Pelodiscus sinensis: one gene and its partners. The main gene of each other region encodes a partner of the protein of the gene in region 4 in a complex. Links are inferred from orthologs where the notes say so. Each region holds a gene or a part of one and is shown on either strand. Other genes may lie near its edges.

Region 1 (7,630 bases), on a different chromosome or scaffold from region 4:
CTACAGTATAGTTGTGATCACAGAAAACGGCAAGATTACTAGGGGTCTGGAGAGGAGGCATTAATAATCCAACACTTGGATCTACAAATCTTGCATCTATTTGAGACGCAGGAAAGGAAGATGGTGGTGGAGCAGGTGGTAGCAAAGGAGGTGGTGGTGGAGGGGGTGGTGGTACTGCAGACAGATCTTCAGGTTGCTCTGTAAATTCTTCAGTCTACAAACAGCAAGAGAAAAAGTACATTTTAATCTGTTTTGGGAATAGGCCATCTAATCACCAGATTGTAGTCTGTAAACAACAATAAGCATATCCATTACTAGCAAAAACAGCTAAGAACTTCTTCATTAAAGTTTTCTGAGAACCATCCAAAATGATTCCAAGAACTCTCTCTCAGGTGTTAACAACTCAATTAGATATCCCATCATACATGTATAGGTGGAATTATTTTTCCAATGTACATCTCTGTGCACACAGCAGTATTGCATTTTGTCTCCCATTTTGCTGCCCAGTTTTTGGAGATCCCTATGTAACACTTTGCAGCCAGCTTTGAACATAACTATTTTGCAGGAATATTTTGCATTTGCAAATGTTGTCATTTCACCATTCAGTCCCTTTTCTAGATCATGAATGAATATGTTGAACAGCACAGCTCTTTGACGAAACCTCTCTCTGTTGCAAAAATGGACCATTTATTTCTACTCTTTATTTCTTATCTTTTAGCCAGTTATTGATCCATAACCGACCTGTTATTCCAGGACTAGTTCATTTCCTTAAAATCCTTTAGTGAGGCATCTTGCCAAAGGCTTTCAGAAAATTCAAATACACTAAACCACCCAAGACGTCCTTTCACAGATGCTTGTTGACCCCCTCAACCAATTCTAATAGATTGAAGCATAACTTTCCTTTACAAAATCCATGTTGACTCTTCCCCAACAAATCATGTTTATCTATGCACTTGGTAATTCTGTTATTTACTATGATTTCTACCAGTTTGCCTGGTAGCAAAGGTAGGCTGAACAGCCTTTACTTGTCAGGATTGCCTCCGGAGTCTGTTTTAAATATCCTCCAGTCATCTGGTACATAGGCTTTTTCAGCAGTTACATACTATAGTTAGTAGTTCTGCATTTCTTTTCTGAATTCCTTCAGACATTCTGAGTAAATGTCATTTGGCCCTGCTGACATATTACTGTTAAATGTATCAATTTGTTTTAAAATTCCACAATGATGCATGAATGGGACAATACTTCAGAAATATCACCCAAAAAGGACATCTACATGAGCTGTATCTCACCTACACCTGTCGTTTTGCATATATAGGTTGAACCTCCCTGGTCCAGCAACATCCATGGTCTGGCAGGACCATGGATGTTGCTGGACCAGAGGGCCTTGATGGCTGGGGCCCACTGAGAGTCCAGCAACCAGGAACTTGGCAGCTGGCAGCAGAGCTGGGCTGGCAGGGTCAGGAAGGGAGCCCAGCTGGGAGGCTGGCAACCCCATGGGAGAGCCGAGGCCAAGAGGCTGGAATTGATCTCCCCTGGTCTGGCAAACTCCCTTGTTCGGGACCAGTCAGGTACACAAACACTGTTAGCAAAACTACCCTATCCTGGAAGACCATCTTGGTTACAACAATCTCATGGCCCACTGAGATGCAGGAGGGTCACTCATTGGGCCTACTCACTAACCTAGTTGGCCGCTCTCTCCTCTAGACCCTTCAAAGTTGTCCTGCTCTCTGTTTAATATGCAAAAACACAAAGGGGCAGACAAAATCCAGATCTCCTTAACACGGTTCTTCTCCCTTCTCTGTATTAAAAAAATGCATATATTGCAGTATTTGAGTAACAAAAATTAAAGTATTATAAGAAAAAGTTTTCACGTTACCTTTATCTTCTCACTGGGTTCAGTGTAACAAAATATCGTGGGCACAGCATTTTCCTTCAGTAGCTTGTTATTGCACTCTCTTTTAAAGCAATCGGGAGTGAAGTGCTCTGAACAAATACTGCTATACTTTGTGGGCTTGAAATTTTTTCTTTTAACAGCAGCTTCCCATTTCTTGCAGAGGTCAGGTCTGGTGAGAGGAAACCTGCAAACGAGATGGACTTTCAGCGCCACTGAACCGCTTTCTAAGGAAAAGCGACAGCACTGCAGGCATACAAAAGGCACGGGTGCAGCACTCAGGGTTGGTCGGCATGGCGGGGCCAAGGAGCCCGGTGCTAGCTGCTGTACAAACAGGGATCAGAGAGGCAGCCTGCTGGCCCTGCGACATTCAGCGCCCTGGCTGGGTTTGCCAGCGCATACACCTACGGCGGGCATAGGGGCGCAATGGGGGGGCGCAAGGGGCCAGTGTCCGCAGGCAGAACAGGGTTTTGCACGGTTCGGGGGAACTGACAAGCAGGTGCTGCCGTGGGGCTGGCCAAGGCACAAGTGGCCAGGAGGCCTGGACAGGGAGCGGGCGGACTCGGAGGGGCATGGTCACTGCCAGGCCGGCTCATGGGCTTTGCCAGGCGCACACCGAGCCCAGCAGGCAGCTGAAGCCAGGCCTGGGGGCAGATGGGCCAGCCCTGCCCCTCATTGGCCCGCGGGCCGGACAACAGGCCCGGGCAACCGGCCCGCGGGCCGGACCAGGCTCGCAGGAGGGGGCGGGGCAGCCTCCCAGCGGCCCCTCCCTCCTGCCTTTCCCCCGCCCGACGGGTCCCACGTGCCCACGCAGCCCCGCCCCCTTATGGGTGCGCGCGTGCCGCCCCGCAGCCGGTGCGCACGCGCTCTGGGCTGCTCGCCAGTGACAGTTACTCCCCGCCCCCCCCCCGGGGGCCCTTCCCGCCGAGGCGCGCTCCCGCCCCGCGCAGGCGCGCTCCGGCCCTGTCCTCACTTGTGGAAGGAGATAGGCTTCTCTTTGTCGTATCGGTTCCGGCAGCGGTAGGCGGAGCAGGACTGCACCATTCTCCCCCGGCGGCGGCCGCCTGCCCCGCTCCGGAGCACGCCGGGGCCGAGTGCAAGGACTCGGGCGACCGCCAGTTACCGCCCGACCCCCATCCCTTTTCTATTAGCCCCTAGGAGCAGAAAGGGGACACGGCCTCTCCCGACTTCAAGATGGCGGTGCCAGCTTCAGGTGAACTCTCGCGATACCAGTGCCTCGCTCGCCTCCATTGGCCGTTCCCCTCCGCGAGGGTGGAGCCTTTTCGCGCAGCCCACCAATAGGCGTCGAGGCTCCGCGTGTGGCGCGGGGCCCCATTCGCCCAGCTTCCGCCTTATCCTTTGCCCCGCCTCCCTTCGCTCACACATCTGGATAGCAGGGTCCCTGTGCTTCCAGCGTGCGCCAGCAGGCGGTGTCCAGACTGCTTCATTGCTGCGGAGTCTCGCTCCAGTGCCTTTGGCCAGAAATTCTGCCCCTTCCCCTGCAGCTACTAGGGCTGCTCTCTGCCCTGGGTGAGGTGGGAAAGATCAGGCAGGCCAGGGCTCCTTCTTGCCCAGGGAGGGGCAGCCTAGGCTCCTGACCCGGCTGCATGAGCGGCCCTCCTTCAGCTGAGTGCGCTGCAGATTTGTTGTAATCCACCTGGTCTCCCAAGATAGGGGAGATTTTGGTAACTGCACTTGTCTACCTAGAATTTGTGGGGTGTGCCAAGTGGACTCTAGCAGCACTTTGATTGGATGCAGTGGGTGTGCAGGGCTTTCACAGTCAGTGCATGCAACTGCGCACACCTCGCTTCACCTACCCATGCATAAAAAAAACGTAAATGCATAGTCTGTAAGTCTAAACCTTAACGACTAACAAAACATGTCGATTGTATCATGAGCTTTCATGGGCTCACTTCTTCAGATGACTGGAGTATTGAAAGTCCAGATCCAAGAATAAATAAGGGAGGGGGAGGAGGGGAAAAAGGGGAGAAAAAAGACAGTGAATACCTGTGCATATCATTTTAGTAATACATAGGAGCAGGGGGACAACTTATGCCCACAGAAAACAGCTGAATCTGGCAATCTTGCCATGGGCAACACTAAAATTTGTTGTGGGCCACACACAGAACCCCATTGGGCCACAGGTTACCCACCACTGTTCCTGTCTTTCAGTTCCTCCTTCCCCCCCACCCATCCATACTTTTTCAGGACTGAACAGTGGGAGGAGAGGTACAGCAGCATAGTCAAACACCCCAGAGATGTGTGGCAATGTAAGCCGTGTGGCTACGGAGACGCTCAACCAGCCAGCCTCCTCTAGGCCAAAAGCAATGAACTATGCCAAGAAGCCCAATGAATAGAGGAAATGTGATGGGAAGCAAGGAAGGAGGGATTTCTGGTGGTAGGGGTCCGTGGATCATAGGGAAATAAAGAATTGGTATATTAATTAGAGATGTAAAGCACTGCCTAACTAGCCTGCTTACAAGGAAAACTGGTTAACCTGCACCCCACCTGGCCGGGAGCAGCCCTCTATCCATGGCTGGGCCCACCATGCCCTGCCATGGATGGGGAGCTGCTCCAATGCCCCCCACCCTCCCAGTCACAGGTCAGTTAATTAAACATGTAGTTTAACTTGGTTAACATTTTTAATGGAATTTTACATCCCTAATATTAAATGGGTGGGTCACAAAGACTTGAGGTTCATTCATTCAGCCAGCTAAGGATGGTAAACAGTGGCTCACAAGGAGCTATCAACAGTTTGGTCAGGGCCACATCAGTCCCCCTGACCCAAGGAATTTTAAATAGAGATTGTAACTAATGGTAACTCCCCTCCCCATCCTAGTAACTGAGGACACCGTTTTCCTACAGCTCAAAAGTACCTACTTCCCCACTAAACACAACCTTGAACACACATTTAGCATTTTCTGCTATATTTTGTTGTACCCTGAGTATAGTAAAGAATTCATCGGTCAGTTGCATACAATATACACACTGGCTAAGGCTAGGTATTCTGCACCGCCTTAGCCTGTTTCACTGTACACTTTACCTGATCTGCTAGGGGAGTGCAGCTGCACTGCACTGCCTCATTCCCTATAAACTTTCCAAAATGCCCTTTGCAAGGTTAGTGGAAATCTGAGAGGCTGTGTTGAGACACAACAAAGCAGGTAATTAAAGTCGGTGTGAGGGCAACAGGCAGAGTTATGGTGGCAGATGAAAATTTTAATCTGGCACGTCCTGATGTTTCAGCGCTTAATTATGCAACCTGCGCGTTTCCTTGGCGTACTCTCTGCAAAGAAAGTCAGATGGGGGCGATTATTTCAGCCCTACGGTCCCCCGCCACTGGCCGTGGGTCGGTCTGTTCCTTGGGTTTCTCCTTGGGACTCTAGAGGGATGCAGACGGGCTCAGAGGCAGGCTACGGAGTTTGGAAAGGTGCGCGTTACAGGCAGGGACTCACGCCCCAGCCTGTGCGGGGCGCGAAGGCGATGGGGCGCGACCCCACCCCAGCCCGCACACAGTCTCCGCTCGCGGCAAGGGGCAGCGCTCTGACCCAGCCCCTTTTCCCAGCTGGCGTCGCTGTGCAGCCCGCAGCGAGGGAGCGTGGGCGGGCGTGTGGGCAGCTGCCAGCGCGGAGCCGTGTGCGCTCCCATGCCCAGGCGGGAGGGAGAGCGCGCCGCGGCCGGCGGAGGGGCGGGGAGAGCGGGCGCGAAGGCGGCGCTGCCGCTGGGAGGGGGTTTGACATCAGTTCCCCTGTAGGAGTTTCGGTAAATGCCACAAGCCGAAGGCGCGGAGCCCTGGGCGGCGGAGGAGGCTGCCGCTGCCCCCGGGGGGAGCCGACCCGCCTGCCAGGGGTGAGCCCGGCCCCCGCCACCTCCATCGCGGACCCCCGGGCGCAGGGCTGCGGCGGGCGGAGGGCCCCCCAGACGCCCCCGGCGAGCGCACGCTCCCGCAGCCCCCGCGGGGGCTCCCCTTGCTCCCGCTGCGGCCGGAGGCGGGGCGGGCCCCCTGGCCGGGCGGGCGGGCAGGATGAGCGGCGGCCGCAGCGGCCGGGCGGCGGTGAAGATGGAGGCCCCGTTCTACCCCGAGGAGGGGCTGGAGCTGCTGCCCGACTTCGTCCCGCTGCCCGGCTTCGGCGGCCCCGGGCAGGAGGCGGCGGGGCACAAGCTGCTGCTCGGGGCCGGTAAGAAGCGGGAGCTGGCGGGCCCCCTGGCGCTGCCGGGCTCCTTCCCGCTCCGGCCGCCCGGCGGCAGCGCCCGCAGCCCCGCCGCGCTCAGGCTCAGCCCCGCCGCGGCGCCCCCGGGCTCGGCCGCGGGGGGAGGAGCCGGCGGCAGGGGCGGCCCGGAAGCGGCTCTGCTGGCGGCCGGGTCCTCGGCGGAGCTGCCGCTGCTGAAGCTGCCGCCCGCGGCGGACCTAGAGCAGCTGCTGATCCAGGGCGGCCCGGGCCTGGGCCCCGCCAGCCCCTGCGCCGCCCCGCCGGCGCCGCCCCCCGCGGCCGGGCCCTTCCTCTACCGGCAGCCGGTGACGCAGGAGCAGGAGGGCTTCGCCGACGGCTTCGTCAAGGCCCTGGCCGACCTGCACAAGCAGAACCAGCTGCTGGCGGCGCCGCTCTCCCCGGCGCCCTGCGGCCCGGCCCGCCCGCCCAGCGACCCGCCCGCCGTCTACACCAACCTCGGCAGCTTCAACCCGGCCGGGCCGCTCAGCCCGGCGGGCTCCTACTCGGCCGCCCCGCCGCCCGGCCTGCCCTTCTCGCCCGCCCCGCCGCCGGGGCTGGGCCGCCTGCCCGTGCCCGGCGCCGCCAGGGCCCTGGAGGAGCCGCAGACTGTGCCCGAGGCGGCCCCGCCGGGCGAGGCCGGCAGCGGCGCCCCGACGCCGCCCTCGCTGTCGCCGCTGGACGCCGAGAGCCAGGAGCGGCTGAAGGCCGAGCGCAAGCGGCTGCGCAACCGCATCGCGGCCTCCAAGTGCCGGCGGCGCAAGCTGGAGCGCATCGCGCGGCTGGAGGAGAAGGTGAAGGCGCTCAAGGGGCAGAACGCCGAGCTGGCCGCCACCGCCAGCCTGCTGCGCGCCCAGGTCAGCCAGCTGCAGGGCCGCGTGCGCAGCCACCTCTCCAGCGGCTGCCACATCAGCGCCGCCGCCGGGCCGCCCGCCGCGCCGCCCGAGGGCCCGCCCGAGCCCGCCGCGCCGCAGACCAGCGCCTGCTGAAGCCCGCCCGCCTTCCCCGAGGTGCCTGGGAGGATGCGAGACTGACGGGCTCCCCATAGCTGCTGGAAGGAAGGCGAGGGGGAGCCACGCTGCGCGCCACGCCGGCTGAGCGCGGCTAGTTCCCAGGCAAGGGGCTGGTGTGCGCGCCGTGCAGCTTTCCCAGGACTGAAAGAATCGCTGTTTACACAAAGAGTCCACTTTATTTCCCTGCTAGAGGCGTTCTTTCTAACCCCCCTGGAGCGGGGCTTGATTCAGAGTTGTCTATTCCCAGCTTGAAAAAGCTCAAATTCTACATTTTTTTTTTTTAAAAAAAGTGTGTGTCTGTGTGTGTGTGTATAAAACAAAATGTGGCAGTGTATTTCTTTCTTAGCAGTGAAAGGAATTTTTTAAGATTGTATTGCTGCAGAGCAGCTTTTCATTTGCAGCTGATAGGGAAGCCCTGCGAGTAAAGCACTTGAATGGGCCTAGTTTTAAATCTAGCCTTCGCTGAGAGAGATTCTGCCACACAACTTAGGTTAGAAGGAATCCTATTTAATGACAGGTTC
Region 2 (7,192 bases), on a different chromosome or scaffold from region 4:
ACATTATGGTGGATTCAGGTAAATGGCCCTGCAAATGAGAGATTTGTTCAGATTGGTATCATAGGTGGCTGTCATCTGTCTATCCAGTATGTCATTAGCAATCCACTCCTTTATAAAATGGGATAGTGCAGATCTGTATCCTGTACGGGTTGAGTGAAATTCACTGGGGTTTGCAAAGCACAGCCAGCTCTTTGGGTAGAAACGGATAGAGAAGACTAAGCACCTGAATTAAGTTGTCCAGATTCTGAGGTGAGGGTTTCTGTCCCTAGGCTGTGCTTTCTGAGAGGCCTAATGTAAAATGGGACAGAAGATTGGAAGCTAATATTGGGAGTAGAACCCTTTTGGTTCCATATTTACCTTTTGGGATTGCTGAGATTCTGTCTTGGAGCAAGGTCCAGGGGGCAGTACTACAGCTTCCAGCATGCCCTGGAAAGATGTTCACCAGCCTGCTGGATTTGGGTCCCAGCACTGGACCCTGAGCTCTCTTTTCCTGACTCTGAGCGGAGTTCAGGCACTGTTTCTGCACACGCTTTCAGGGTGCACGTTTACTTTGTAGTGCCCTTTTCTGAAAGCCTAGGCCTTGAAACGAGGTCTGTATTCCCTGAAACTCCCCAGTTGCTCTAACCATGTGGGCATTCTGGCTTCCAGTTCACTGCCTCAGGGACACGTGAGCATTGAAGCAAATGAACACACACATTTTCCAGCAGGTTTCTAACAATATTACTCTTTACTTAGACAGCACAAGAAACACCGATCTAGGCAAAATAAAAACCGCTACACACCAGTCCCTGCTTCACTTTTTTCACCACTTTTGAGTGTTCTTTGGGATTTGGATCAGCATCCTTTCAGGGTGTCCAAGATACTCCTCATGCAGCTCCTGGCTTCTTCATAATATGGAGTATCTTTCTCTCCTGCAGGCAGCTCCCTCCAGCCTTAGCTGGTACTAATTTCCAAAAGATCCTTCTACTACAAAAGCCATGCCCCTTTGTTGCTGCCTCCTGCCCCAAGTTTCCTTTGTCTCGCTGGCCAGCCCAGTCTGTTTTGAAGGGCTCTAACCACACCTCATCTCTTTGTTCCCTCCATTGGGGAAATTCCGTTCCTTCAAACTAATCTTCTGCAGAGATGGAGGAAAAATGATGCAGTTACTCCTTTGATCTGTTCAGGGGTTGGCAGGCTTTATTGACTGACCTGTTTATAGACCAACATGCAGGGTCTACTCCCATCTCATTTGCATAAGGAATATAAGGCAAGAACATGATACAGTGTATTATACAAGCATCAATGTACCGAGTTCATAATCACAAACAGAACTTCTAGGCTACATATTGATAGATTCCCCAAATCATCACAGAGCTGGTAGGGACTGCCTTCTTCTATCTAAACCAAGGAGGAAATTCAGCACCAAAAGGGAGAGGATGGCATGCAGCAGAAGGAAAGAAGTCATAGTTTTAATTCATTGTTTTTTCCTTCCAGATGATGATTCCTGGGATCTTGTCACCTGTTTCTGCATGAAACCTTTTGCTGGACGGCCAATGATTGAATGCAATGAGTGTCACACCTGGATCCACCTCTCCTGTGCCAAAATCCGCAAATCAAATGTGCCAGAGGTGTATGTATGCCAGAAGTGCCGGGACTCCAAGTTTGATATTCGCCGCTCAAACCGCTCCCGGACAGGTTCGCGCAGGCGCTTTCTGGACTAGCGGAGGAACTACAGAGATGGCTTACTGCTCGGGCAGATGAGCCATGCAAAACTCAGAACTCCAGCCAGGGGGGCAAAGAGAGCTCCTCTGAACTGCAGTTGGCTCAGGCAAAAGTGACAGTGTGAACAGACATGAGGTGTTCAATGTCTGAGTGCCAGGGCTGGGAGAGGCCTGCTGGCCAAAACTTCTGCTAGAGGCTGATTATCTATAGCAGGGACGTACTAAATACCCCTGGTTCAGTGGGGTTTTGTCAAGTTCAGACTGTGAATGGGATGATCATTTGAGAATACTGCCTTTGCCGCCTATCAATGTTCATCCTACTGGGAAAGCGCTAAGCAAGTGCAAGGCTTCTAGGTGCTGAAGAAAATAATCATCCTCCGAAGCAGGAGTAGGAGGACGGAAATCTCTGGAAAGTCTGAAAGTAAACAGCCATACATTCTAGTTTCACTGTAATACTAGACTTGCCCATTGGTCCAAAAGAATTTCTGAAGGCTCCTTCAGAATGAGCTTGAATGCACACTGAACTCATGTGACCTGCCTCCTCTTCAGCTGGGTAGCGGGAGAGTATCCACTCACTTCTATGATTTGGCTTTGTTTCTGGTAAAAACAGTAATTTCCCACAGCTCTCTGGATTGTTGGCTTTAAAGGGGAGACGCAGGGTTTTCTTTGTTTCCTGGGGAGGGAAGGAGGGCTGTGCTGGAAGTAGACATGTCAATTTTCTTCCTTAATTGAGCTGAGTCCTCTTAAAATCATTGTCATGATTGTGTTTTGCAAGAGCAGCTCAAACATAAGGTTGTTCTGTGCTTCCATCCACTCTGTTCCACGGCCCCGTGTGGTGGCTCATCTCAGACAGAAAAGCATTGTTCTGAGACACCAATTCCCTTCCCTCCTCCAGCCTGGAAGTCGAGCTTGGCTACACAGTGGGCCTTGAAAAATTAAAACCTGGGAATTCAGAATGGCCTGGTTTGGATTTGGGCGGTTCCCATGTGAGCACTAGGGCTGGAATTACCTGCATTTTTAATACTGTTTCCTGAGCTGGATTTGTAAATGGGAAGACTAGAAAATCTTTCAACAGGTTTGTATGCCCCTCTACAGATAGGAGCAAATGCATGCAGTATGGCATCCAGCCCAACCCTGTAGAGGTGGCCTGTGCACCTGGCAAGGTGGGCTGCAGTTGAGAGAACACTCCAGAGCTGCAGAGGATAAGGGAATGCATCAGCACCAGAAAACGTTCCTATCTCGTGACTACCCTTTTAGGTAGCAGTGAGGGGACAGTGGACGCAGGGCTAGAGAATGTTTCAGGGAAACGAGACTAGTATATGAGGCCACTGAGGTGTAGGCGCTTTCCTTCTAATGACCAAACTGAAAATATATTGTATTTATTGCACAAACTGGATATTTGTTCTTGAGAGAATTCTCCTAAGTTGTATGATGCTTAATGAACAATGGACGTTCTGTCCTGTCAGCCTATTAGATGATCTGGAGTCACTAGTTGGCATTTTTTTATATCTGAAAGAAGACAGAACTGCCAGGAATCAATGCAGCAGATGATCTGTATCAGACTGTCGCCTTATTGAATACTGATTTATCAGGAAATACATCCTGGCAGTGTCAGGGACCCTCCTTGGGACACTTAACACGAGGCTACACAGATCACTAGAACAGCCTGTATATCACTGCCCTGCAATGCCCAGGGGCTTGATGAGATGGGACCATTACTATAGAACGGCACTGTTTTATTTCACTGTCCATTCTAAAACTTGGTGCAGTTTGAAAAGCCCATCAAGTGAATTTGATTTCTAGATGCAGCAATTGAAATCTAATTTTATAAACAGCTCCACTTAAATCTAAGAGAGTGATGACACACTACATACCAGAAACGAAATGGACCCAGCACTTTGCCCAAGATTTGCCTGGTAGGGCTGTCTTCTGCCACCAGATAAATAACCAAAGTTCCCAAGTGTTGCAGATTTCACGCTGCAAGGTAGGCGGCTTTGGAAGAAATCTGCTCAGTCGTGTAAGGGTTTAGCCTGATGTCGAGGTGTCTGCAGTACACCTGGATCGCTGCAGGCTGAAAAGCAAACTGCTGCGTGAGCTGCCTGTCTCAGCGGTCACCCCAGCCGGCGCGTGCCAGCCCGCCTGTTGCCATGGCAGCGGAAGGGTGTCCGAGCCCCCCCCCCCGTGACTCCAGTTCCCCGTTAGTTATTTCAGCGAGTGGCGCTTGTCTCGCGCGCAGAGCCCGGCACGAGCGCGGACCCAGCTCCAGCCGGCGGGAGGGGCCCGGGCGCAGCCGCGGGGGGAGGGGCGCCGCGGAGCGGTTTGACGGTGACGAGCAGGAGGGGAGGGGCAGGGCCCCTGGCGGCGCGATGCATGCTGGGAGCGGCGGCCCTTGCGGACAGTGTTTCACTCGCCGTGCCCGGGGGGCGGGGGAGAGAGAGACCAGCGCCCCGGCGCATGCGCGGGAAATCCAGCCCAGCAGGCGCGTGCGCCGGGGCGGCTCGCTCTGAGGGGCGGGGCGGCCATCTTTGTTGGGGGCAACGCGCGGGGCGGGCCATGCCCAAGTCCTGCGCCGCGCTTCGGTGCAGCAACCGCTACAGCAGCCGCTGCCGGCAGCAGCTCACCTTCCACAGGTACCGCCCCTCCCCCTCCCACAGGTACCGCCCCTCCCCCTCCCCCCTCCCCCAGGTACCGCCCCTCCCCCCTCCCACAGGTACCGCCCCTCCCCCTCCCCCCTCCCACAGGTACCGCCCCTCCCCCCTTCCACAGGTACCGCCCCTCCCCCTCCCCCTTCCACAGGTACCGCCCCTCCCCCCTTCCACAGGTACCGCCCCTCCCCCAGGTACCGCCCCTCCCCCTCCCCCCTCCCACAGGTACCGCCCCTCCCCCCTCCCACAGGTACCGCCCCTCCCCCTCCCCCCTTCCACAGGTACCGCCCCTCCCCCCTCCCACAGGTACCGCCCCTCCCCCTCCCCCCTCCCCCAGGTACCGCCCCTCCCCCCTCCCACAGGTACCGCCCCTCCCCCTCCCCCCTTCCACAGGTACCGCCCCTCCCCCTCCCCCAGGTACCGCCCCTCCCCCTCCCCCCTTCCACAGGTACTGCCCCTCCCCCCTCCCCCAGGTACCGCCCCCCCCTCCCCTCCCCCAGGTACCGCCCCTCGCCCCTCCCCCAGGTACCGCCCCTCCCCCTCCCCCCTTCCACAGGTACCGCCCCTCCCCCTCCCCCAGGTACCGCCCCTCCCCCTCCCCCCTTCCACAGGTACCGCCCCTCCCCCAGGTACTGCCCCTCCCCTCCCCCTTCCACAGGTACCGCCCCTCCCCCTCCCACAGGTACCGCCCCTCCCCCTCCCCCCTTCCACAGGTACCCGCCCCTCCCGCTTCCACAGGCACCGCCCCCCTCCCCCCTTCCACAGGCACCGCCCCCCTCCCCCTCCCACAGGTACTGCCCCTCCCCCTCCCCCTTCCACAGGTACCGCCCCCCTCCCCCCTTCCACAGGTACCGCCCCTCCCCCTTCCACAGGCACCACCCCTCCCCCCTTCCACAGGTACCGCCCCTCCCCCTCCCCCTTCCACAGGTACCGCCCCTCCCCCAGGTACCACCCCTCCCGCTCCCCCTCCCCCAGGTACCGCCCCTCCCCCTCCCCCAGGTACCGCCCCTCCCCTCCCCTCCCACAGGTACCGCCCCTCCCCCTTCCCCCTCCCCCTAGAACCGCCCCTCCCCCTCTCCCCTTCCACAGGTACCGCCCCTCCCCCTTCCACCGGTACCGCCCCTCCCCCCCTTCCACAGGTACTGCCCCTCCCCGGTACCAGCTCCTCCCCCCTCCCCTTTCACAGGTACCGCCACTCTCCCAGGTACCGCCCCTCCCCCTTCACAGGTACTACTCCTCCTGCCTTCCTGGTACTAGCCCCTCCCTCCCTTCCACAGGAACAGGTCCCTCCCCCGATATCAGCCCCTCCCCCCTTCCACAGGTACCGGCCCCTTCCACAGGGGCTGCCCCCCCACCTTTCACAGGTACCAGGCGCCTCCCCTTCTCACCTTCCAGAGGTACCGCTCCCCCACACCTGCCACAGTTACTAGCCCCCCTTCCTTTCATGTGCTTTCCACAGGGAGTAAAGTCCTGCCCCCCCCCCCCACATCTGCCGCAGGTACCAGGGTACCACCCCTTCCCTTGCTACTTTGGCTCAGGCCCTTCCCCACCTTGCCTCTCCCCTGCAGGTTCCCGTTCAGCCGGCCAGAGCTGCTAGCACGCTGGGTGGGGAATATTGGCCGTGGTGATTTCCAGCCCAGTTCGCATACAGTGCTCTGCTCACAGCACTTCCAGCCCGACTGCTTCAGCGCCTTCGGCAACCGCACCAACCTCAAGCCCAATGCCGTGCCCACCCTCTTCGCCTTCCCCTGCACCGTCTCGGTGAGCCGCCAGCTGGGCCCTAGCCGTGCTGCAGGGAGGGGGCGGGGCAAGTGGTTAGAGCAGGGCCATGAAATGGGCAACTTATTGGGCACTGCAGTCCCTCCTTTCCCCTTCTGTACAATGGGCACAAGAGAACTGAGCTCACCCTGTCCTCTCCCAAAGCATCACTTTTTCACAGGTCATGTGAGCTGCCTCCGTGTCCCAACTGCTTTGCCCCTTGGCTCAGTGAAGATGCTGCTTCCTGCTATTTGTTTGCTTAGGGAGGTTGGAGAGATTTAAAAGCAGGTTAGATAAACACCTGTCAGGGACGGTCTAGATCATGTCTGGGCAAAATAGAGCCTGCCGGCTGGATTTGGCCCATGGATGCAGCAGAGAGCCTCAGGCAGGTTCCCTGCTTGCCTCACCTCACCCACACACTGCTCAGAATAGCAGCTGCTGGGCCGTTTCTCTTTCAAAACTGTGAGCCTGGAGGGGATGAGGGGGAAGGGTTAAAGCACTGCCCCCCACCTCCCCACACCCCTGCCCAGCACAATCCCCTTGGCTGGTTTCTGGCATGAAACACCACATCCCCCGCCTCTCCGGCTGGTAGTTATTACACTAGGGATGTGAAGGACTAGTTGACTATCAAGTAAGTAAATACTTATTGGGTAGTTGAGTCGACTAGTTGATTCCCCTGCCTCTTGCTGTCTCTATCAGAGGCAGCAAACTGGGGGGCAAGAGAGGATACTTCAAAGCAGCAGCGCCGCACGGAGCAGATCCTGGGCTCCATGTGGTGCTGCCCCTTTGAAGTACTGCACAGAGCCCGGGATCAGCTGTGCAGCACTGCCCCTTGCAAACGCCGCCACGCCATTTCCAAGCGACAGCGCTATGTGGAGCCTGGGGTCAGCTTGGGGACTCCCTAGCTGACCCTGGACTCCCTGCGGCAGTCCCCAGCTGATCCCAGGCTCCAGCATGGCATTTCAAAGCACAGAGCCCGAAGTCAGCGGGACTTCCCTCTGGCCCCGGGCTGCATGCGGAGTTCCACATTCCTCCTTTGAAATGTGGAAGTGACTATCAACTATTGATGGAAATTCCATCAATTACTAA
Region 3 (7,244 bases), on a different chromosome or scaffold from region 4:
TTACCATTGTATCTGCCTGTATGAGAGCCGGCAACCAGGGGGAAAACCAGCTTTAAGCTTGCTTCTTGCACTAGCCGGTTCCCGCGGAGGCCCCTGTTCCCCACCTCCCCGCTGCCTCCAGAGCAGCCCCAGTCTGTGGGGAGCTTGGTTGTTCCACAGACAAGGGCTGCTGCCATCCCACACTACTGCCTCTTCATCAGAAGTAGCAGCGCAAGGTAGCAGAGAGCTCGGACCGCACTGGATGCCAGCCCCCCCCCCCCCCCCGGGACTATTTTAATAACCATGTAACTACTAAAAACTGTTGCAGCTATACAATTACTAAAATACACGGTATCTAACATCCCTACGTCAAATGCCCTTGCTTTATGTGAATATCACTTTACTAATAATTGGTAGGAAAAAATCTACATGAACGAAAACCAACAGAATCTGGCAACCCTGTGTGTAGAGAACGATAAACAAAATGTCTAGCAGGACACAGAACCCCAATGGGCAGCATGCTGCAAATGGCCCTTCAGGAAACAAGGCATGAAGAACAATAGAATTTCAGAGAATGGAGTGCAGGGAATGTCAACTTCACTTTCTACCATTTAGCTATTGTATTTAGCGAGCAATCAACACCTTAAAAAAAATAAAGATTTTTTTTAACATCCCTCTCAGATATCCCTTTAGTTTGGATAAGACTTGTAATTTCTATACGCCAATTCAAATTATTTTTCCAGAGCCACATAACATTTAATGCTACACATTAATTTGGGAGCATAGACATACTTTTCTATGTGGTTCTCAAAAGTCAGTTAACTGCCCAGAGTGAAACGAAGAAAAAAATAAGCAGATGCATCGCTTTCACATTGGCTGTGTCTAGACTGGCATGATTTTACGCAAATACTTTTAACGGAAAAGTTTTTCTGTTAAAAGTATTTGCGCAAGAGAGCATCTATACAGGCACGTGCCTTTGTGCAAAACATTTGCTTTTGCACAAAAGCATCCGTGCCAGTGTAGACGCTCTCTTGCGCAAGAAAGCTCTGATGGCCATTTTAGCCATTGGGCTTTCTTGCGCAATAAATTAACGTGGCTGTCTACACTGGCCCTCTTGCGCAAGAGGGCTTATTCCTGAGCAAGAGCATTGGAGTATTTGTGCAAGAACCACTGCTTTTGTACATTACAAATTCAGTGTTCTTGCGCAAATAGTCGCAGCCAGTGTAGACAGGCGGCAAGATTTTTGCACAAAATGATTCCAGTCTAAACGCAGCCATATAGTATTACCAATACAATTACATTCTAACCTAAACTACCTGTGTTTCTAGTAGGGATGTAATTGTGTAGTCAATTAACCAATAAACAAAAGATTATAGGTTAATGCCATATACTACATGGATTTCCCCCTCCTCCATCCCCACCAGTAAATTTTTAAGCAGGCTAGCCAGCAGCCAGGCTCAGTCCTTGCTTGCACCAGGTCTGGGACCTACCCCTGCTACAGCTCTGCATTTGAAGTGCATTAGGAGCCAGACAGGCAGCCCAGCTCAGTTCTGACTCACACTGGGTCCAGGAGCTCAGACCCTGTCCCCCACCCTCTCACAGGGATTGCTGCCACTCTGTGCTGCTACCTGTAGATCAGAGGCAGCAGTGCAGGGTAACAGGCAGCAGGTCCACCAGGGAAACTGGTTTTTAAACTGCCTCCCCTCATGAACCAGCTCCCACCTGGCACCCCACGCTGCTGCCTCGGATAAAGAGGCAGCAGCGCATAGTGGCCGAGGGCTTCTTGGGAGTAAGTCACATTGGCTGCTGGCCCTACCCCCAAGGACTACAGAATAGTCAAGTAACTGATAAGAATTCATGAGTTAATCGACTATTCAATTAACGGGTATTTGACATCCCTAGTTTCTAGTCTTTCTACAAGAGATTAAATTCTGCCAGATTTCCCAGTGAGTCTGTAAACCAACTTGCCTGATGAAACAATAGGAATGATTTGAATCCAAGTTCACTAGAAGTGAGAAACTCAGTGCAGACCCACTTTGCCCATTATTCTGACACGTGCAGTGTTACTTTCTGTTTCTGCTTTACTGCCTAACAAAAACGTCAACGTCTCCCCTTTGAGTGTAACTAAGTGCTTGTGTGCGCGACTCATTCTGAAACCCATATGGTTTTTACCAAAGCTAACGAAAGCAGCAGCCATTCACCAAGGTAGAAACAGAACCAAGTGTCAGGCCAGAGTTTTCCCCGGCCAGATTCCCTTCCCGGGACAAACAACGTTCCCTACGCTCGCTGCCGTTTTCTCGCGGAGACATGAGACCCCCCCCAGAGGCGCTTCCTGCTCCCCCAGGGCCTCCCCCCGCCGCGGTGTCTCGCCCAGGCGGAACGGAGCCCAGCGTCCCCTGCAGAGGCCGCGGGGCTCAGACACGCACGGCCCCGCGCCCGCTGCTCAGCCCGGTTACACAACCGCTCGGAGCCAGGCCGCACTGCCCGCCCGCTGCTCCCGGGCCGCGCGCGGCTCCATCCCGCCCGCAGCGAGCGGGCGCCCCGGGCCGGCCAGGCCAGACGCTGCAGCGGCTCCCGCCGCCCCGCGCTGCCCTCGGTTCCCGCCCGGCGCGCGCACCGGCGGCGGCCACGCGGGCTGAGGCGGCAGCGCCCGGGAGAGCCCCTCGCGCCGCCCGGCCCCGCCGATACTCACCTCCCCGCGCCGGGCCCCGCCCCGGGCCACAGCGGAGCCCCGCGAGCGCGTCCAGCCCGCGCCCGGGGCCTCCTCAGCCCATCCCCGCCCCTCCCCCCTTTGTGCGGCTGGGCGGACCCGTTCCGCGCGGGGCCCGGCCTCCTCGGGACGGGCCGCTGCGGGGCGGGGCCGGGCGCCCGGCCGCTGCCGGTGTCTTACCGAGGGATCGGCCGCGAAAGGGCGAGAAAGGAGCCAGTCACCGCCCGGCCCCACTCCCCGCGCGAGCCCCGCGCCACCGACCGAGCAGCGACACAAAATGGCCGCCGCGGCTGAGGCGCCGCCGCGAGGGAGGGGGCTGGCGCGGGCTCTCGGGGGAGGGGCGGGGCCAAGCGGAGGGGAGTGGGGCGGGGTAGAAACAGGGGTCCCCCCCCCCAGGGCGGGGCCTCGGAGGGGGCAGGTGAAGGGGCGGGGCCTCAACTGTGCGCCGGAAGGGGCGGGACGAGGCGGAACTTTCGCGGGTCTCCTTTCCCCTCCCCTTCCGGCACGTGTGAGGCAGGGCCCCGCCCTTCTCTGGGATGCAGGTGGCTAGCGAGGCAGCTGGCCGAGCTGGTACCATCCCCTGCTGCAAGCCTGACCCTGGCTTGCCACCCCCCCCCCCCCCAGGGATTGGCCGAAGAGCCCCTTGATCCTGAAGCAGCTGGGCCCAAGACATCAGCATTGCAGCACCCCACCCCGCAGGGCGTCTATGAGCTACAGCCCCGAAGTTCCCAACCCATCGACCCAACAGAATTCTTCCCCCCATCCTCCTCCTGTTTTTCCTGTTAGTGTTTCATCATGGAGGTGTTAGAGCACTGCAAATGGAGGAAAAGAGAAAGTGAGGAGAGACTGAAAGAAGGTGCGCAAAAACAGCTGTTCTTGGCAAAAACTTGCCCGGTATCTACACTGCACGCATGTTCTTGCACAAGTATATTTACAGTATAGCATTGTAAAACAGGGCATCTTCTGGAAGAGTTATTCTTCTCCCCAGGAGGGATAAGCCCTCCTGTACAAGAGCTCTTCCACAAGAGGGCAGTGTAGACAGGCAACATGAATTTCTCGCGCAAGAAGCCCCTATGGTTAAAATGGCCATCAGAGCTTTCTTGTGCAAGAGAGCATCCACACTGCCATGGATGCTCTTGCGCAAAAGCACATGCCAGTGTAGACGCGCTCTTGTGGAAGACTTTTTGAGCAAGAACTCTTCCGCAAAACAGTTCTTGTGCAAGAAGCTGCTAGTGTAGACATAGCCTGAGGGGGCCCATCACAAGAACTCAAATCTCCAACACAATACCATGCTGTAGTGAAGCTGAGTGACCTTCCATTGAGCTGGAGGATGAAGAGCCAACTTGGTGATTCCTAGTGGTCAGAGCTAAGCCAGGCTTGCCTCTCCCACCAGAACCCAAGGGATGAGAAAGACAGCCTAAAAGACAGAACCCTTGATGCAGTTGAGTCTGAGCCAAAGAAGGGAGTAGATGGCTTCCAGGCCTAGAAAAGAAGGGGAGAGAATAGGGCTACGTCTACATTGGCAAGATTTTGCGCAAATACTTTTAACGCAAGAGTTTTTGCGTTAAAGTATTTGCGCAAGAGCGCGTCTACACTGGCATGTGTTTTTGCGCAAGAGAAAAGCCATTTTAGCCAGCGGGCTTTCTTGCACAAGAAATTCATGTTGCCTGTCTACACTGGCCTCTTGCGCAAGAACACTTGTGCAAGAGGGCTTATTCCTGAGTGGGAGCATCATAGTTCTTGGGCAAGAAGCACTGATTTCTTACATTAGAATGTCAGCGTTGTTGCGCAAGAACTTGTAGCCAATGTAGACAGGTGGCAAGTTTTTGCGCAAAAGTGGCCACTTGTGCACAAAATCTTGCCAATGTAGACACAGCCTAGGGGTTTGCAGAGCCCTGGAGCTGAACCCACACTGCACCAAGCCCTGCCCCTGGAGGAGACTAGCCCAAGTGAGGAGTTGCCAAGTCTGCCATTTGCCACATATCCAAAGTGTGAAGTTGCACCCCCATATTTTTTATGGAACTATTCTTTTGAATATGAACAAGAACTCAGATAAGCTCTATGCAAACTGTGGCACCGTCACTGAAAAGCTTGCAATCTGCTGAATGTGTATATTCTACTGGCTGGACTTACTTGGCATTTCCCGGGAAACTGGAGGAACAAAATTTAGAAAAACAGAAATTGGTCCTGACAGCCTCCAACCACACTGCAGCTGCCAGTGCCTGACATCTGGCCAGTATGGTAGGGGGAGAGACTTTCAGGCAGTCCAGGGCTTTATAAAGCAGTGAGCAACCGACCAAATAGCTTGCAAACAGGTGAGTGCTAACAGCGAATTTAGAGAGGGAGTTCTCCAGGTAAAGGAGAAGCAGATACAGGACTCTTGAGGGGAGTGGTTGTCTGCAGTGTGTGTTGTGTTTGGGGCTTTCTTGCTGTGTGCTGAGCTTGTGTTTGTGAGCGAGGCTTTTTTTTTCTCCCTTCCCCTTTCCCCTCCCCCTCCCGGAGTGTGTGCTGTGACTGGCAGGTGGAAACTGTTGGCTTCTAATTAAAGTTTGAATTGTAGAAACCTCTGCTGATTGGCTGAGCCTTGGTAGGGGGAGGGACTTTCAGGCACTCCAGGGCTTTATAAAGCAGTGAGCAAGGAGCTTGTGAACAGGTGAGTGCTAACAGGGAGTTTAGAGAGGGAGTTGGGAAGGGGGCAAGGTTCTCTTGCCATTCTTTTAAATCCTTTTTCCAGGACAGCAGGTATGGATGGTGATGGGTCTGCTGTTGTTACCTGCACAGCGTGTGCAATGTTTGTCTTCCTCCTGGAAGAAAGAAGGGATTTCATCTGCAATAAGTGCAAGCTGGTCGCCATTTTGGAAGAAAAAATTAGAGGACTGGAGGCCCAAGTGTAGCCCCTACACTTGATCAGAGAGGATGAAGACTTCCTTTATAGAAGGCAGAGTTTAATCCTGAAAGCAAGGCAGGCGGAGGAGCCAGAGAGGGCAGCACAAGACCAGGAAGAGAACTGGTAGCATGTAACTTCTAGAAGGAGAAAAAGGCCAGCACAGGAATCCCCCAGTGCTATAGAGGTAAGTAATCGCTTTTAAGCTCTCTCCACAGGCTCTGCAGTGCTGAATGCTTTGGAAGGGACCTCACAAACAAGAAACCGGAAGGGAACACCATCTACTGGAAGGCATGGGATGTGTAGTCCTAGGGATGGGGGTTCCACAACCATCAACCCCAAAACAAGACAACAGGTGGTGGTGATCGGGGACTCCCTCCTAAGAGGGACTGAGCCATCCATCTGGCTCTCAAGAGGTGTGCTGCTTACCAGGAGCTTGAATTCAGGATGTGACTGAGAGGCTTACAAAACTGATCAAACCTTCAGATCGCTACTCCTTCCTCCTCCTCCACGTGGGAACTAATGATACAGCCAAGAATGAACTTGAGCAGGTTACTGCAGATTATGTAGCACTAGGAAGACGGATCAAAGAATTCGGAGCGCAAGTGGTGTTCTCATCCATCCTCCCTGTTGAAGGAAAAAGACTGGGCAGGGATCATCAAATTGAGGAAGTAAATGTCTGTTTGCACAGGTGGTGTCTCAGAGAGGGCTTTGGTTTCTTTAACCATGGGACTCTGTTCTGGGCACAAGGATTGTTAGGAAGAGATGGGATCCATCTCTTAACGAAAAGAGAAAGGAGCATCTTCACGGGCAGGCTTGCAAACCTAGTGAGGAGGGCTTTAAACTAGGTTTGTTGGGGGACGGTGACCAAAACCCTGAGGGGAGTGGGAAAGTCGGATACCGGGAAGATATGCAAAGAGGAACAAGCAAGAAAGGAGGACCCCTGATTCTAATGGAGAAGATAGGGTGATCAACTGGTTATCTGAGGTGTTTGTACACGAATGCGAGAAGCCTGTGAAACAAACAGGAAGGACTGGTGGCCCTGGCCCAGTCCAAGAAATATGATTTCATTGGGATAACAGAGAGTTGGTGGGATGACTCGCATGACTGGAGCGCTGTCATGGAAGAAAATACAGGACTATGTAGCACTTTAAAGTGCTACATAGTCCTGTATTTTGTTTCAGCTACACCAGACTAACACGGCTACATTTCTATCATTATTCTGTCATGGAAGGGTATAGACTGTTCAGGAAGAACAGGCAGGGGAGAAAAGGAGGAGGAGTTACACTGTATGTAAGAGAGCTCTATGATTGCTCAGAACTCCAGTATATGGAGGAAGGAAAACCTGTTGAGAGTCTATGCGTTAAGTTTAGAGGTGCAAACAACAGCAGTGATGTTGTGGTTGGTGTCTGCTACAGGCCACCGGATCAGGTGGATGAGGTAGCTGAGGCTTTCTTCAGACGACTGGGAGAAGCTTCCAGATCACAGGCCCTGGTTCTCGTGAGGGACTTTAATCACCCTGACATCTGTTCAGAGACCACTTTTTTCTAATTTTTTGGTAGGGAAGTAGGGGATAGGCATTCTGGGTCTGCAAATTCTCATCCAATAGCTGAGTATAGGGATGTGTCAATCAATGGGGCTGGCCCTACTGAATCTGAGAGATTTCAAGGA
Region 4 (7,757 bases):
GGTTCATAACTATGAATCCCTCAGGTGTTACCCCATACCTTGGGAAAACTCCTACAAAAAACTCCTAGAAAAGACTGGCTCAAATTATTTGCAAACAAACCCCCAAAATAAGATGAAAGAATAAGCGAAACCTTAAATGTGTATACCTACTAGTCACAGCCTATGAAAACTGGACTCTGGACTATGAAACTACAGGCAGTCCCTGAGTTACGCAGATCCGACTTAAGCCGGATCCGTACTTACGAACGGGGCTTTTCTCGCCCCCGAGGACGCGGGCGGCGGGACCGCCCAGACGCGCCACAGTCCCGCCGCCCACGTCCTCCGGGGCGAGAAAAGCTGCTCCGCGTCTCCCTGGTCTGCTGGGGGGGGGCGCCTCCCCCCCCCCCCCCAGCAGACCAGGGAGACGCGGAGCAAAGCCGCAGAGGACCTGGGCGGCGGCACCGCAGCGCGTCTCGGTCCCGCCGCCTGCGTCTCCATGGTCTGCTGGCGGGGGGGGGGGGGGGGGAGGGTGGCGGCGCAGCTAGTGCAGCCCCGCCTCCCCCAGATGATCAGGCTTTTCTCGCGGACGCCTGTGGTAGAGCAGCTGGGGCGCTGCCGGTTGGTCCCACAGCGCCGCTCCTCGGCACTACTGGACCAACCCGGCAGCACCCCAGCTGCTCTGCCCCAGGCGTCCTGATTCAGCCGCTGCTGGTCAGTTTCAGCAGCGGCTGACGGGGACGCCTGGGGCAGAGCAGCTGGGGTGCTGCTGGGTTGGTCCAGCAGCGCCTAGGAGCGGCGGTACTGGACCAACCCAGCAGCACCCCAGTTGCTCCGCCCCAGGCGTCCCCAAGTCAGCCGCTGCTGAAACTGACCAGCAGCCAACTACAGGAAGCCCGAGGCAGAGTTTCTCTGCCCCGGGCTTCCTGGAATCAGCCGCTGATCAGTTTCAGCAGCGGCTGACTTGGGGACACCTGGGGTAGAGCAGGTGGGGTGCTGCCGGGTTGCTCCCCGCAGCACCGAGGTGCGGCGCTGCAGGGACCTACACAGCAGCACCCCAGCTGCTCTGTCCCAGGCGTCCAGATTCAGCTGCTATTGAAACTGATCAGCGGCTGATTCCAGGAAGCCCTGGGCAGAGAAACTCTGCCTCGGGCTTCCTGTAGTGGGCAGCTGGTCAGTTTCAGCAGCGGCTGAATCTGGACACCAGTTCCGACTTAAGTACAAATTCAACTTAAGTACAAACCTACAGTCCCTATCTTGTACGTAACCCAGGGACTGCCTATATTTCCAGGATCTTGATCTAGTGGAGGGCTTCGAAAGACTACCTATAGACCATACTGTTGGGTACCCAGTTTCCATTAGTGCTACCTCTGATTAAGTTTTAGTCTTTCAAATAGCTGGTGTCTGATTTTTGTTCCAAATCTATGCTGTTGAAGTGTTCTTCTATTGCCAGAAATAAAGATAAAAAAAGCTAAAAGGAGGAAATCAATTTCTACGTACTATTACTCACCCTTAAAACAAGATTGAAAAACTGAAATGGCATACACAACTGCGAAACAAAATAACCTGATTTACTTGTTTGCTTTGATACTTCAATACAAATTTCTAACCTCTCCTCTCCCCAATTTGCCAAAAAAGCAAATATCCAAGTTCCAAGCTTAAAACTGCACTTAAGGCTAGAGACTTTGAGGGTGACAGATATAAGGAAGTTGATGAGAGATGTTTTACTTCTGTTCCAAATTTGGGAGATTGTTTCAACTGTCCTCAGCTTGCTAGAAAAATCCAAACTCAGATTTCCTTCATTTTGTCAAAACTTTCAAAAAATGTGCAATTTCTCCCCACCAATTAAATTCAGGCACACTAGTGTCAACTAACAACGGTAAAATTTTGGATCTGGTCCTATATGCAAGTATTGGGAGGATTTGGGGTGGCCAGCTAGATCAGAGCTCTATTCTTTTATATGGATATATATAGATTCCAATTTATTCAACAAATGTGTACTCTTGCAATTAATCCCTTCCCTAGAGTCCACTGCAAGTCAAACTAGTTTTGAAAGTGAATGAATGATAGTAGATTGTAGGAAGAATCTCCCTCATGCACATAAAGAACTCTAACAATTATTTATATTGTTCAGTATAAGTACACTAATTTGAAATTTTTCTGAAGAATCCCAGACTTTAATACCTTGATGAAATACAATAATTTAATTGCCTCCTGTGGCAAGAAGTTATTTTATGAAGTGCTCACCAGCATAGAAAACATAAGATAAAGCTACTTTTCTTGTGAAAGATTTGATCTTAACAGCAGTTTTTAAAAGCATTTTCCCATTAAACTATCAATTTATGATATAAAGTATTAGGTTCACTTTAGTGCATACTCCTGAAAATACAGAAAAGGATCTGAAAAACTGATTTGGGACTAAGGAGATGGGGTCGGAAGATGGTTCCAGACATTTCCTAAGTAGTATTTGTAAGGCACATTTCTTAGCGCTTTTCACACACGTGCGAACTACATCACGGCTCTCCCACGCATCCACACGCGCTCGGTGCCGCTTTACAGGCGATGATGAGAGCGGAAGCTGACAACAGAAAAGGCAAACAACGGGACTGGGCGCGATTCGCAGTCTGGCTGTGGCCGCCACAAAGCGGCGATGGATGCTGGCGACAGCGCGGAAGAAACTCGAGTGGCGCCCATCCGGGCGGGGGCGAGAGACGCGGCGAGCCCCCGGGGCGGCGGCTGAGCCCGGCCAGCGGCCTCGGGCACGTCCCCCCGCACCGCATCGCCGCGCCCGACGCGGCCTCATCGCGGGCGGCTCGCGGCACAAGCCAGCCCACGGCCGCAGCCGGCCGGCACCCCGCGCGGACAGGCCCGGAGCCGCCAGCGCCGGCCGCACCCACAGCGCCGCGGGCGGCCCGCGGGCCGGTACCTGTGCTGTCAGCCACGTTCCCCACAGAGGTCGCCATCGGGGGCGCGCGGGCGGGCGGGCGGGGCTCCCCCGGGCGCGGAGAGATCCAGGCGACGCGACCCAGCGGCCGGACCACAGCGACCCAACCTCCCCCTCTTCGCTAAGGCGGCGGCTCCAGAAATGGCGGCAGCGGCGGAGGAAGCACCCCGTCAGGCGTATGGCTCCTGCCGGATCTATTTCCTTACACAAAATAGTCCGCGTAGGAAAAGGGATCGAATCCTAGGCGTTATCAAACCCAGTTGCGACAGATGAGTTTCTAGAACTAACTCGCGCTCTCGCCTCCTTTCGGTGCACTCTCTCATTAGTGAGCCGTAGAACCCTACTGAGAATTGTCACTCATCTGATCCGTATCCTTCCGCAGGAGACCATTGCGACAAATGAGCGCTCATCGCGCATGCGTCACGCGACGCCACCCTTTCTACCTCGCGCTCGCAGCCACCTCGGAGCCGGGGGCCTCAAGCAGGCCAGGGGAGATGCAGCCCCGCCCCTGGGGCGGAGCTTAGGAGCAGGCGGAGGGAGGGGCGCCGCGGCAGCTGCTACATGCGGGATACGTGTCTGGGAGGCGGCTGGCCACGCCTCTTGCCTCAGCCTCCTCCTGCCTGACCGATGGGGCCGGGGGGCTCCGGCAGTGAGGGGGCTGCAGGCGGATCCTACCACGTCTCTGCGCAGGCGGGGGCGGGGGGGCAGAGTTTCAGGTGTAACCACTGAGTATTACACACGCGCTGCCCTTACAACGGTATTTCAATGCCTGCACTAGCCCCGTGCAAGTTCCTTTCTTTCACTTACTGACACTATGGCAATGGATCATGTGACATGTTGAGGAGTTAGATACACAGGTCAGGAAATTCATCATTTATAATTGAGTGGAGTTGTGGCAACTACCTTTTGTAGATATGTACCAAGGGGATTGTTCCAAGGAAGACAGAATTTGAAAGAACAGAACAGGATCAGCATTCACTGTAGCAGCTAAACCCATCCGATTTTAAATTTCATGGTGAACAATCTATTCTCCCTTTTGTCCCATAAAAGGAAGAGCAAGTCCATACCTGGCAAAGGTGGTTATGAAATCACAAGTGGCACTAAGGCCTGTAATTGCAAAATCTAAGGACAATGAAACAGAACACCATCCTACAATGAAATAGTCAAAATACACAAAATCTTGATATAATTTCAGGATTAATCCAATATGTTATACAGCAGAGGAACAGGAGGCTCTACAGCACTTCCTACATGGTTCTATGATTTCTGTTAATTAGATTAAAGCAAAAATAAAATGAACTCAGATAGTTTAAAGCACAAGTAAAGCCTAGAGAAATTCCTGTTGAACTCCTCCTGCATGACGACGGGTTAGCAATTTCTAGAACAAACTGTAAGGAGCTTCAGAAGATTTCTTCCTGTGAATAAGATGTTCAAGGTCATTAACTCAAGCAACTAGTGTAGGCAGAATTTCAGGGAAAGCATCCATAGAGGCTTTTGGGCCTGACTTTCTGAATACTTGGGGTAACACTTCAGAAAATATGAAGGGCCATGCCCTCTTTAATACTGAGAAAACAGATGCTTTAAATGTTCAAAAATCAAATTTACTCAGTTTTGTATATTTCTTCAATTGTTTATTTCTTCAACAAATGTATGGGCTGGTTAACTCAGTCATATCAAAGATCAATGTAAGGTATTTAAACACCAGCCTAATATATGTAAGAAATTTTCAGTGTGTATCTGAAAAGAATAAGGGAAAGTGAACCAGATTATAAACCTGTAGTTATACTCAGTAACTAGAACCCTTGGATTGCTGCACAAATCACAGCACGTTATCTTTGTCTAAATCTTGTTATTCACAATTCAGATAACTTAATAAATGTATTGTAAAAATTCTATGAACATTGAAATTATACAAGAAAAATAAGATGCTTCAAAATTAACAGTGCGCACAGTCCCTTAGTACCAAAAAAAAAAAAAAAGATGGAAATTCATTCATCTAAATCCAGGCCACCGAGTGCTACATCCCTCGGTAACGAAGGGTCTCTCATTCATCTGAGTCCAGGTCACTGTCTCCTGCAGTGGAGTGAAAATCCTCACTATCTTCCTCATCCTCTGAAAGATGAACCTGACTTAACACACTTGGCCCACATCGTTGTTCTTCCTCCTCTTCCTCCTCTTCCGAGATCTCATACCCTCCAATGCTGCTAAAACTGGTATCTCGTGTGTTGGACTTCGGATCTGGCTCCTCATAGCTGCCATAACTAAAAGAAAGAATGGAATATCATTACAAACACACTTTCAGCTTGTTTCCAAAAAAAACAAGAGAGTCTGGAGAGCTGCTCAAAATGTCAGGACTTGGTAACTGAAAGATTCCCTTATAGCAGTGGTTTTCAAAATACGAATCACAACCCAAAACTGAGTAAAGCAATGTCAGGCACTGTGTAAGGCACCCTACTCGCTGTAGGGTGACCAGGTAAACAGCAGGCATTCTAAATAAGACTTCCTGACTGTCCCAGCATCATACTACACTGCACCCCAGAAGTATCCAGTGGCAAGTGTGACACTTTGGCAGGGGGCCACAGGACTCCGCTAGCAGCCCCCACCCTAAGTACGGGTTCCCGGCTAATGAGAACAGAGAGGCAGGGCCTGCAGATCAGAGCAGGACACAGAGCCGCTTGCGCAGACCTGCTAGGAACCAGACCTGCTATTGGCCACTTATGGGGCACAACAGAGTCCACAGTTCCAGGACAGGCAGGGAGCCTGCCTTAGCACCAGTGTCCCCTGTAAGCTGTGCAGGAGAGTTTCAAATACTGCCCAACTGATTAGCAGTGTTTCTACTGGTGGTGAACCACCATGCATGCCCCTTGTGACAGTCTGCCGGCTAAGCCAGAGCTCTGCCACTACAGCTGAGTGAGCCCATTCCTGTGGGCCTCTTTAGCCAGAAGGCTATATAAAGCAGCCACAGGGGAGAAGTCAGCATGAGTGTGCACCTCAGGCAGGAGGAGAGGCTGGCTGAGGTTACTGTGAACAAAAGCTCTGTAAATAGAAGGTGGTGGGAAATTGGCACTGACAATAAAAGGCATTGGTGACTGCACCAGAAAGGGTTTCTGGTTGATTTATGACTCCAGAAGAGGTCCCAGGGCAAAGGGCTTGAGCGAGGATTGTGTCACACCCTGTGCACATAAAATTCATTCCACACGTGGATGGAAAAAATTAGAACATCGCTTGCATTCCCACTGTGCCATTGACCAGGAGCTGCTGGAAGGAAGCCCATGCCCCAACTCTACACCCCAATTACTTGCACCAGCCCTGGGATACCCCCCAAACCCAGGGCCACCACCCAAATCCCACATCCCCAGTCCCACCACAGACTAGATACAAGATAATTATGTTGGGTCATGGGCATCAACAATTTTCTTCAATTGGCTGTCAAGGAAAAAAAAAAACTTGAAGCCACTGCCTCGCAGCTTGCATTCCTACATTTCTATTATTCTCTACTTTGATTACCTGATATTACTGTCCTCCATAACATGAGAGGTCTCTCCACCATCTCCGTCATAGGACATCATACTCTCTTCATTCTCCATGCCCATTCGTGTGTTCTCTTGAAGGACGTGAGGTTGTTTTGGTCTCATTGCAGTGGGCTCCACATCTGAATCACTGCCACTTTCACTCAGCTGGATAGCTGTGCAACAAACAGAAAAGAGCCTCTTACTAATCTTGACAGCTGTTTTACCTGGTGGATTGATTTGCATACTTTTGTAGTCTGCAATATTATCTGGTTTTCAATAATAATTGCCTCTTTCACAAGAACCATCTATCTTCCACACAGCATCTTATCTGTCACTCTTGCACTGAAATAATTGCCTCCTCTTACTCATCCATTTCACCTTGTGTTCTGTATCAGACAACCTGTGCAGCTTGAACAGTGCCCTTTTCCAGTCCTTCACAACAGGATCCCATGTTTCATGTTTACTATCCAAATCTCATGCGAGCTTGCACCAGCAGCTCCGCTTAGACCACGTATCCCTCAGCATTGCATCTGAACTGCAGCCTCTTTTCTTCCAAGCTTCAGAATTCCACCATCTGAATCGGGTGTGAACACCCAACATTCTCTCCTGATTACAGTTAGCATTTCACTGCATCTTAGTCTTCATCTAAATTCATCTGGTTCTTTCTTCCTGCTCTTGACATCTCCTTTGTAACTGCACCATAACATCTAAACTTTGTAACCAATATATGAGTATACAGTGTCTTGTATATCTACAATCAAATATTGCAGTGTATGCTACTGAAGTTTTAGGGCATGGAAATTGGCTGGGTTTGGCAACAACTGATTCCTGCTCAGTGCTGTGATTGAAAGACTAGGACTTACATGAAAAGGGATTATCGCCTTCTTCATCACTCCCATCATCATCATCATCCTCCCCATCTGACATAAGCAAATCTTCATAAAGAACACTAGCCTGTGGCTGTTGTGCTGAGCCTTCTTCTTCATCAGCAAGGTCACCATCCCCATCTTCAACTTCCTAGATCACACAAAATGGGAATGGTATAGATCAAAGGTCATACACAAAGCTGCTGACATATCTGGCACATTGGCAGTATACTCAGTCATTTGTTATTATATTGACAGGTTTATGATTTCAGGTAACTATCTGATTTGTCATTGCTGTGGATTCTGTGGTCACCGAGAGTGCCAGACCCAGCAGACTTTCCCTGCACTATGAAGTCTTCTATCATGAGGATGCAAAGACTACAGATGGGATTTCTGTATATATACTCACTGGGGCTGGAGTCTTAGGTTTCCCATCCTCATCCTCATCAAACCCTTCAA

Evidence for each region.
Region 1: OGT (region 4) and THAP1 share a complex: the UniProt entries of both Homo sapiens proteins name them as parts of the THAP1/THAP3-HCFC1-OGT complex. The link is inferred for Pelodiscus sinensis from reciprocal best matches to the Homo sapiens genes OGT and THAP1.
Region 2: OGT (region 4) and THAP3 share a complex: the UniProt entries of both Homo sapiens proteins name them as parts of the THAP1/THAP3-HCFC1-OGT complex. The link is inferred for Pelodiscus sinensis from reciprocal best matches to the Homo sapiens genes OGT and THAP3.
Region 3: OGT (region 4) and PHF20 share a complex: the UniProt entries of both Homo sapiens proteins name them as parts of the NSL complex. The link is inferred for Pelodiscus sinensis from reciprocal best matches to the Homo sapiens genes OGT and PHF20.

The regions. Positions count from the first base shown.
Region 1 is NC_134716.1:3,815,814-3,823,443, forward strand, and holds the start of THAP1 (THAP domain-containing protein 1), read right to left. Parts: upstream 3,087-7,630; 5' UTR 2,936-3,086; coding exon 2,865-2,935; intron 2,079-2,864; coding exon 1,877-2,078; intron 215-1,876; coding exon 1-214. Other genes in the region: transcription factor JunD-like, read left to right, coding at 5,913-7,085. UniProt on the Homo sapiens protein: DNA-binding transcription regulator that regulates endothelial cell proliferation and G1/S cell-cycle progression.
Region 2 is NC_134733.1:24,452,016-24,459,207, forward strand, and holds the start of THAP3 (THAP domain-containing protein 3), read left to right. Parts: upstream 1-4,174; 5' UTR 4,175-4,253; coding exon 4,254-4,330; intron 4,331-5,913; coding exon 5,914-6,106; intron 6,107-7,192. Other genes in the region: PHF13 (PHD finger protein 13), read left to right, coding at 1-18, 1,474-1,700. UniProt on the Homo sapiens protein: Component of a THAP1/THAP3-HCFC1-OGT complex that is required for the regulation of the transcriptional activity of RRM1.
Region 3 is NC_134728.1:32,241,645-32,248,888, reverse strand, and holds the start of PHF20 (PHD finger protein 20), read right to left. Parts: upstream 3,026-7,244; 5' UTR 2,870-3,025; intron 1-2,869. UniProt on the Homo sapiens protein: Methyllysine-binding protein, component of the MOF histone acetyltransferase protein complex.
Region 4 is NW_027466001.1:364,279-372,035, forward strand, and holds the start of OGT (UDP-N-acetylglucosamine--peptide N-acetylglucosaminyltransferase 110 kDa subunit), read right to left. Parts: upstream 3,049-7,757; 5' UTR 2,940-3,048; coding exon 2,903-2,939; intron 1-2,902. Other genes in the region: TAF1 (transcription initiation factor TFIID subunit 1), read right to left, coding at 4,965-5,181, 6,428-6,605, 7,296-7,449, 7,708-7,757. UniProt on the Homo sapiens protein: Catalyzes the transfer of a single N-acetylglucosamine from UDP-GlcNAc to a serine or threonine residue in cytoplasmic and nuclear proteins resulting in their modification with a beta-linked N-acetylglucosamine (O-GlcNAc).